2 linked regions of the Canis lupus familiaris genome follow. The protein of the gene in region 1 binds, or shares a complex with, the protein of each later gene. Links are inferred from orthologs where the notes say so. Each region holds a gene or a part of one and is shown on either strand. Other genes may lie near its edges. The genes, in order: STX7 and BET1L.

Evidence for each region.
Region 2: STX7 (region 1) and BET1L share a complex: the UniProt entries of both Homo sapiens proteins name them as parts of the SNARE complex. The link is inferred for Canis lupus familiaris from reciprocal best matches to the Homo sapiens genes STX7 and BET1L.

The regions. Positions count from the first base shown.
Region 1 is NC_049222.1:25,723,689-25,728,099, forward strand, and holds the start of STX7 (syntaxin-7), read right to left. Parts: upstream 2,876-4,411; 5' UTR 2,742-2,875; intron 2,408-2,741; exon of another isoform or gene 2,188-2,407; intron 1-2,187. UniProt on the Homo sapiens protein: May be involved in protein trafficking from the plasma membrane to the early endosome (EE) as well as in homotypic fusion of endocytic organelles. Mediates the endocytic trafficking from early endosomes to late endosomes and lysosomes.
Region 2 is NC_049239.1:25,711,253-25,715,810, forward strand, and holds the start of BET1L (BET1-like protein), read right to left. Parts: upstream 2,879-4,558; 5' UTR 2,791-2,878; coding exon 2,772-2,790; intron 2,212-2,771; coding exon 2,120-2,211; intron 1,917-2,119; coding exon 1,860-1,916; intron 1,739-1,859; coding exon 1,571-1,738; 3' UTR 1-1,570. Other genes in the region: RIC8A (synembryn-A), read left to right, coding at 4,072-4,155, 4,368-4,415, 4,501-4,558. UniProt on the Homo sapiens protein: Vesicle SNARE required for targeting and fusion of retrograde transport vesicles with the Golgi complex. Required for the integrity of the Golgi complex.

The sequences.
Region 1 (4,411 bases):
TATTCTGATAGCTGCTGTCCACACCAGTCTCCAGCACCTAGCCCAGATATAACAAGCTTTAAGCACTCTTGACGAATATTTTTGAAAGCTCATTCAGAATTCCTAGTTTTATTGCTCAGAATAACATAACTCATTATCCATACCTGCTCTATCAAGTATTCAAAAATCACATGTGAGGCCAATGATTTGTATAGTTCATGTAAAACATTTCCATCACAGCATAAAGTTCTACTGAATAGTGCTTATGTAAACATCTTAACAATTACATTTCTATGAAAATATATAAGCACTGTAAAGGGAAAGAAAGAAAGAGAGGATCAAAGGGCAATACTCGGGGATCCCTGGGTGGCGCAGCGGTTTGGCGCCTGCCTTTGGCCCAGGGTGTGATCCTGGAGACCCGGGATCCCACGTCGGGCTCTCGGTGCATGGAGCCTGCTTCTCCCTCTGCCTGTGTCTCTGCCTCTCTCTCTCTCTCTCTCTGTGACTATCATAAATAAAAAAAACAAAAACAAAAAACAAAAAAAAAAAGGGCAATACTCATAACAAGGATATTCTCAAGACTTTCTGTAGAGCACAAATAAAAGAACAAAGAAAACTGTGAAAAGTTGTGTCAAGCACTACTCCCAGGTACTACTACTGTACACACTGCAGAATCCTAAGACTCTCATTAAACATAAATCTCATGCTCTATAAATCAAGCATGGATAGAGCAATAGAAATAGTCAGTTTCACCTTCTTAATAGTGTGTACTGGCATAAAACAATGGACTTAACTCTACCCCTTACCCCAAAATATAAGTACCCAGAAGAGCAAGGTTTTGTCTGTGTGCTACATTAGTCTAAGTACTGGGTTATGTAATAGGTGTTTAACAAATATCTGAAGACTGAATGAATAAATGTGTCTATTTCCTAAGAACACAAACCTAGTCTGAGAATAAACATTACCAATCCTCAGACACTACATTCCAGTGTCTTCTTTCAGATCCTAAATGTACTGGGCTTATTATTGCCTTAGGGCCTTTGCTGAGTGCCATTTCCTATCCCTGGAAGGCTCTTCCCATGATCTTCACATGACTGGCACCTTTATACAAGCAAAGTCTCATGGCATGCTAGGTAAGTCTTTGGTGACTTCGGATCTGCAATGAGAAGTTACCACCCCGGCACTCTCTGTTGATCTAACTTCCTTTATCATCATGCTACTCACCACTCTAAAATGATCTAGGTAGTAAATTGCCTTCTATTCCTACTTTGGTGATATAAACACAAGACAACCTTGTCAACCTTGCAGAGTCCACAGTATAAGGCGCATAGTGGATGTTCCATGAATGGGGAGACGATCATTCCATGATAGACATGAGTGTTCTCTATCTAAACCAAATTAACCGAATTCTTTAGCTCAGCATCCCCATCTGTTAAATTTTTATACTATTTGGTTTTACTCACAATACCAAGGGTTACTTTTCACCCTTCCATACACTAAACTTTAAAATTAAATGGAATCGCAGCAAACTTTACTCAGACTTACTGCAGATGTTTTATATATTTATTTTTCCATCCTTAGATCTTGGCTAAAGTTTGATATCCTAACTAAAATGAGGATATAACTCTACCACTGGGAGCAGCAGAAGTAAAACATCTGAAGGAAAATGATGCAGACATTCGGAGGTACTGTGGTATCATTTTAACATCTATGGAAAGTCTGAAACTAGACCATAATTCTTAATTAGTCACCGTCTGAGACAAACTTCCCAAAGCGGCCTTCAATGCAAGGCGGTCCACATCCCAAGACACGGCTGAACACTGCTACAAGCCCCTGCCCTGCCCGGGTGAGGCTAAGGCTCCTGAAAAAATGTCCACCTGCAACATTACTCAACAACAGAGCCCTTCAGAATCATTTTCTTCCAGATTCTGTGAAAGTTTTAAATTATATATAGTCATAGCCAAAAGACACTGATCTAAATCAAACAAAAAAATCAATGTATCTATAGGAAAGCCAAGCAAATACACGAAACCGGAGAGGGAAAAAATATATAGCATTTGACCAGAAAGGTATTTTTCTTTGTGTCTGAATTTTTAAAAAGCAACAGCCTAAAACACAATAAGGGGGGGTGGGGTGGGGGGAGGAGAGGCGGATCTTGAAATACTTTACACATTCTTAAAGGTTTTGGGTAAATCATTAATGACATACACTGAGATCAAAGAAAAGGTAGCGTGTCTTGAAGCCAGACAGAAAACCAACCGCAAGGAGCCTCCGAAGGGACAGATGTTACACGGTTCCTTTACTCTCGAGCCATCCAGTTTCAGTTCCTCTGTGTTAGGGAAGAGAGCTTTAAAATGTGTTTTCTAACTCCATGCGTCGTAAAGAGGAAGCGACCGCTCGGTGACCCGCTCCGGGCAGCAGCAGCAGGACTCCCGAGCTCCGCCCCAGCCGGCCCCGCCCCGGGGCGCGCAACCCGCGGGGGCACCGGAGCCAGCGCTCGCGGGATCGGCGGGCGCGGGGCCGGCGGGATGGGCCGGGGCGGGCGGGATGCGCCGGGGGGGGGGCGGGATGGGCCGGGGCGCGGACCGCGGCGGCGCTCCCGGTTTGGGCAGCGCCCGCCCCCCCGGGCTCCCGACCACAGCCGCAAAGCGTAAGGCGGCGGCCAACTGGCAACGCGCACAGACGAGGAGGCGCGGCCGCCGCGGGGACTTAGTGCCTCAAGAACGCGGGATCCGACCCCCCGCCCCCCAGGCTGCTCTTACCCCGGCTCCTCCGCGCCGCCTCCTCCTCCTCGGGCCAGCCGCACCCACCGGCACCCGACCCCCAGCTACGGTTCTCAGCTGATGGGCGGTGGCACTGGGACGCCCAGTGCGCATGCCCGCGACCCGGCTCTGGGGAGGAGGAGGGGCTCGTCCCCCTCTCGTTGGCCAATGGGCTTGAGTGACAACCATTCTGCCCCGCCCCCTCCGAGTCTGGGCTAAGGAATGGGGGCGGGGGACCAAAAAAAATTTGCAAAGGAGGTGTTTTTCGAGGCCTAGCCTTACAGACGGCAAAAAACCAGAGGAGGGAATGGAGAGCAGCTGCGCTGATCGGGTGATGGCGGCCCCCCCAGGCTCACGCCTTCAGCCTGCCCCATCAGGGCCTGCCCAGCCTGTCCTTACTCTGCAGTGGAACGTATCCACAGCTCCATTAAAAAATGGTAACGCAAATAAGCAATGCTAGCAGGAACAAAGACAGCATAAGTGAAGAGTCACCTTCGTGTGCCCATTTAGTAGACTAGTTTTCATAGCACATGCACGTCGTTCCAAGCATCCTTGAAGGGTAGAGTGTTGTTTCAGCAGGGTTTGAAAAAAGCAGAGAATGTTCTACTGGTAACTATTAAAACATAATGTAATTGTTAGATAAATGCATCAGTTGCATTGGGTGAAAGAAATACTCAGCAAATTAATTAGAAGATAGAATGGGTTGGCCTTTGCCTGTATTAAGGCAACACTATTATTCTGAAAGGATCATCAGGACATGAAATGTCCAGATGCACTTAGGTGAAAAAAATCAAAACGAAATGTCTTGAGTTGGTACCATCTGAGCCAACTCTAGGTTGTTTAGTAGTGTACATACATATGTGCCTAAGAGAGTGAGGTCAGACAGGAATAAGAAACACAAGGGTCTCTCAGTTTGTTTTTAATTGTTCTGTTTTTAACAGAAAAAAGGGGAACCAGAAATATTTCCTATTTCACATCTTTCCTGAAGTAAACTGCAGTACAAGTGTTTTAATAGACAGCCACCTTTATTCTGCTTCTAAAAGGGGGGCAATAGAGTGGGTCTGCTGGCCAAGCAAAAGAAATTCATTCCTTCTAAAGGAAACAGGAGGACAGCCTGGGTGGCTCAGCAGTTTAGCACCACCCACGGTGTGATCCTGGAGACCTGGGATTGAGTCCCGCATCAGGCTCCCTGCATGGAGCCTGCTTCTCCCTCCGCCTGTGTCTCTGCCCCTTTCTCTCTGTGTCTCTCCTGAATAAATAAATAAAATCTTTAAAAAAATAAAGGCAGCATGATTCAGTTAGCACTGATTGCAGACTTTCGGAAATTCAGATTTTTATGTGAAATCCCTTTTTTCAATATTCTTAAACTTTTAGAAAGCATTATTTGCTCAGATAAAGTATTTCAGCTTCTATAAGGCAATAGTTTCAGCTATAAAGTATAAAAAAAAAACAAACGAAAAAAGCTGGAGGAGGACTTACAGAAAATCTAGTTCTACTTCCTCATTTGGGAAATAGATTAAAGGAACTGAAAGCCAAAGAAACTTCGTCAAAAGGACACGAATAATTATAAGCAGCACCGGTCCAGATGACTTAATTCAGATTCTTTAGTTCTTCCTACTATCTCATCAACTCAGCAAATGTTCATTGAGAACCTGCCATAAGCCAGGTAC
Region 2 (4,558 bases), on another chromosome or scaffold:
GCCGTGTGGCCAGATGGACACTGCAGGCTCCATTAACCTTGGTGACCAGCGGACGTGTCCCGGTGGCAAGACAAGACGTAGCAGGAGACCACCAGAGAGCTAACTCAGATCCACGGTGTGTACGTGGCGACTGCGGAGGAAAGACCACAGGGCCCGAGAGGGAACGTCGAGTCAGGGACACAGCAAAGCTCCACAGGCAGGGAGGCCAGCTGACCTCCCTGGATGAGCAACTAGCATCTGGAGGCTAAGGGCACTCAGAAGATGAGGCCGAGCAGCCCAATAGCTGCTGTGCAGGAGATAAGGAAGCTATGATGACCACGTGCCAAACTTGCTGCAGGGACAAGGGCAAGAGAGGGGAGGGAGGCAAGGAGAACACAGAGCAGCGGCAGTGCTGAAGGGGAGGCGCCCAGGGCCAGAGAACGGAGCTGATGTGTGGTCGGCGCACGTGTGATCACCCACGGGATGAGGGGGGGAATGGGCGGACAGCAAACCAAGTTGTCCTCTGGGAGGAAGGGGGAGCGACTGGGCTGGCAGAGGATCGGAATATAGGGGAAGGAACCGGGGAGGACACAGCTAGCAAATCATTTCTTATGTGTCTTCATGCACATACGAGGGTGCGGACGCCCAGCTGGGCCTGCACTTTGTGGTTTGTGTGAACATGGGGCTGGCCAAGCGGGCAGTGAGGGCTCAAAGAGAGGCCAGGGATGAGGCAATGATGAAGAGTCCCCTTATTCAGGGAATACTCACTGCTGAAAGGCCTCACATGGTGGAGGGGAAGCTGCCCGGTGACCCCTGGGTCTTATAAAACTTGTTAGGGAGCCCTCTCGTCTTGACCACAGAGGTGCTGCACCCCCACCCCAAACACACAGACAGAAACCCTTCTAGAGCTCCCATCTCTGGTCTCCCAGAAATACGTCTTTGGTGTTAGGTAGATCCTGAGTTCCTGCTCCTGAATACAAGACTGTGGATCCAGAAGGATCAGGGCCCAGTGCCTCTGGCCAAGGTTGAAGTCCACTTCTTCATCCACAACCCCCTGCCCTTCTCCGAGGGTCTGGGGGGCAGACGTGACCTCGGGGCGGAACCCCTGGCGCAGACCTGCCCATGTTCAGCAGCCCTACCGAGTAGCTGCTCCTCTGAACAGAGCAGATGGTGCTCAAAGTTCATAACCGAACCCCCTTCCTGTGTCAGCTCCAGGCTGCTCACGTATCGGACGTGACCTTACCCAAAGCCTCAAGACGTCGAAGCCCCAGGGGACAAGGAAGGGCTGCTGGCCACAGGTGGCCACGTCGAGGATTCACACCCAGCTCTGCCAGGGCCTCCACACCCCGAGTAGCACAGGGGCTGGGGCTTGGTGTCCCCAAGGGAAGGAGCTGCACTGCATGGGACCAGCCAACAGGAGCTCACTTGGGCGCAGGCAGCCGTCAACTCCCAGGCACACAGCAAGAAAACTCCCAGGCCGGGATCCCCCTTTCAAAGGAGTATTTTGCAGGTAGGTCCTCAGGAGCCTAGGCCACCAGGCGGGGGAAGACCCTGGTTGCCCCTGCACCCACAGAAGTCGGCTTCTGGTGGCTCACGTCCTTGCCCTTGACAGAAGGTAGGAGAGGATGAAGAAGACCACGATCAGGCCCAGGGCCATGCCACACAGAAGCTTCCGGTTGTCTCGCCCGGACCTCGCCATGGTGGAAAAGCGCTTCACGCTCCCCGTGAGCAGGCCTGTCATGCTAGTGAAATCCGAGTCCTGAGGGAGGAATCCCAGCAAGGTCACACAGGGCGGCGCCTCCACGACTGCCACGCAGGTGCCGCAGCGCCACCAGGGCCTGCCCGAGCGGCCCGCGCCCCGCGCCGACGGAGCCCCTTACCATGCTGTCCAGGTACCGGTTCTGGTCTTCTGCGTCCCTGTCGATGTCCAGGGCCAGCTGCTCAGAACGCGGGGCGGGGGGCAAGGTCAGGCCAGAAAGACTCGGTGGGTCCCGCCCGCGAGGCCAGCGGACCCGCCAACACCCGCCGGCGGGATCAGGCCGGGCCTCCCCGGGCCTCAGACACCAGCGCCCCGAGGAAGCCCGGGACCCTCCCCAGCCTCTGCCCTCCTGTCCCCGCTCGCAGGGAGGACCGCACTGACCGACTTAAGCCTGGTGACCTTGGAGGCCAAGCTGTCGGCCATCCGCTTGTTCTCCCGGTCTAGAATCTCCTCCACGGCCGCGGGGCTCTGGGCTGCGAGAAGGGACAGTCTGAGCCTAGGACCGCAGGCGCGGAGGCCCCGGTGAGGGGGGCCGCGGCCCCTGCTCGGCCCCCGCGCTGCCCCGGGGCTCCCTCCGTCCTGCGGACAAGCCAGGGGCCGCGGCCGGGGCCGGGGCGCGAGCGCGGACAGCCCGCGGAGGACGGCGCCCGGGGGTGGGCCCGCGCTGGGAGGCAGTCACCCGGCGGGGCCGCTCGGAGCAGCACTGGCGCGGGCGCGGCGGCCCCGCAGGTCGGCCGGCAGCCAAGGCTGAGCAGCGCAGGCCCGAGGCCCCCGCACCCCGCGCGGCCCGGGGCGACCCCGACCGTCGGCCACCGCCCGGGCTCGGGGCGCGGACGTGCGGCGGGCCGGACGCCCCGATGGCGGGCCCGGGTGCGCACGAAGGCCGAGGCGGGCTGTCAGCGTCCCGCCGCCCGCCCTCGGCTCCTGCCGCCCCTCCCGGGGAGACCAGGGGCTCTGGGGCACGCGAGGGGCCCGCCCGCCGGAGGCCCCGGGCGGAGCAGCCGCGGCCCCCCGACCCCAACCCGCCGCTCACCCCGCGCCCAGTCCGCCATGGCGCCCGCCCCCGGCCCCGTCCCCGGCCCCGCCCCGCCAGCGGCCCAGCCACCGCCTCAGCGGACGTGGCGCAACCGGGGAGGACCGGGACCCCGCCGCTTCCGCTCTGCCCGCCGACTTCCGGCCGACGTCCGGCCGACTTCCGGACTAGGGGGGCGGGCCTTAAGTGCCGAGGACGCGTGACAGACGCCGCCAGCGGCCAATGGCGCGGAGGGCGGGGCCGGGTCCCGCTCCGGGCGTCCCCGCTTTCCCCCGCGGGCCTGGCTGCTGGGGTCGCCGCGGGTCCCCGCCCCAGGCGTTGCCGAGGGGACGCGGTGGAGGCCAGGGCCTGGAAGACGCAAGGGTGACGCACTCCGAAGGGAAGCGAAGCCAGACGGGGGCCGGGAGTGTGGGGGCAGCAGAGGCCGTAGCGGCCGGTGCCTCTTGCCTTGGTCCCGGCGCCGCGGGAACGGAGGCGGCCCACAAAGGCTGGCTGCACGGCGGGCACCGCTGCGACCACACACACGGGAGAGGGAGCTCAGTCCAGGCCACACACCTGGGACGTGGCTGCCGGTGATCCTGACCCTCCCCGCCCTCCCCTGGAGCTCAGGGACATGTTTGCGTCCCCGCCGCGGCCACCGAACGACCTTCCCCCGGATCCCTTCTTATCGTCCGGCCTCAGCAGAAATGCTACTTCCGCACATCCCTTTGCAGCCCACTTTATTCGCCACAGCGCTGAGACCGCTGCCCGTGGCTCCTTGCCCTCACGTGCGAGCTCACGCTCCCAGAGGGCCGGGAACCAGCGGTCGGCGGGTCCCGGGGCCGCAAAGTCCTTCCCACTTCGCTTTTCCCCCGGACTTGCACTGGTGCTAGGCATCTAGGGGGGCGTGCGTGGGAAGGTGAGTGGGTCCCCGTTAGCTTCGGAGGCCGCTCAGCTCCGAGGTCGAAAAATCACCTAGTAGGACCTTTGAAACTCGCGCTCACTCCCCGGCAAAACACTCAAGTCCCAGCCAGCTGATCCAGGTCTCGCCCCCTTAATGAACCTACAGCCCTGGCCCCGCCCCGCGGCGCGCGCTCCCAGTCCCGGCATGCCGCGCGCGCAGCCCTGGCCCCGCCCCGCGCGCTCCCAGTCCCGGCCTGCCCCGCGCGCAGCCCTGGCCCCGCCCCGCCCCGCCCCGCCCCGCGCGCTCCCAGTCCCGGCCTGCCCCGCGCGCCCAGTCGGGGCGGAGCGGCGGAACTCCGCCCGGAGCCGGGAAGCAGCTCCCCTTCCCGCCGGCTCGGCGCGGGATCCCGGAGGCGCCATGGATCCCCGGGTGGTTGCGGATGCCGTGGAAGCGGGCGAGGAGGACGTGATCATGGAGGCTCTGCGCACGTACAACCGGGAGGTGAGCGCGAGCCGTGAACGTGCTTGCACGGAAGAGGTGGGCCGGGCGGGGCTCGCGTGTGCGGACCCGGGCCTGCGGGCTGCGGGCGGCGGGCGGCGGGCGGCGCGCGGCGGAGGGGCCGGGGTCTGCGCGCACCTTGGGGGACGGGGAGAGGCGGGGGGGGTGCGGGCGCCCGCGGCGGCCGAGCCCGCTGAGCCTCCCCGTCTCTGCAGAACTCCCAGAGCTTCACGTTTGACGACGCCCAGCAGGAGGACCGGAAGGTGGGTGCGGACCGAGGGCAGGGGGCGGGGGCGCGTGGCCCCGGGGTAGGGGGCCTGCTGGAGCCGCTCTTCTTCCCGCCCACAGAGGCTGGCGGAGCTGCTGGTCTCGGTCCTGGAGCAGGGCTTGCCACCCCCCCGCCGCG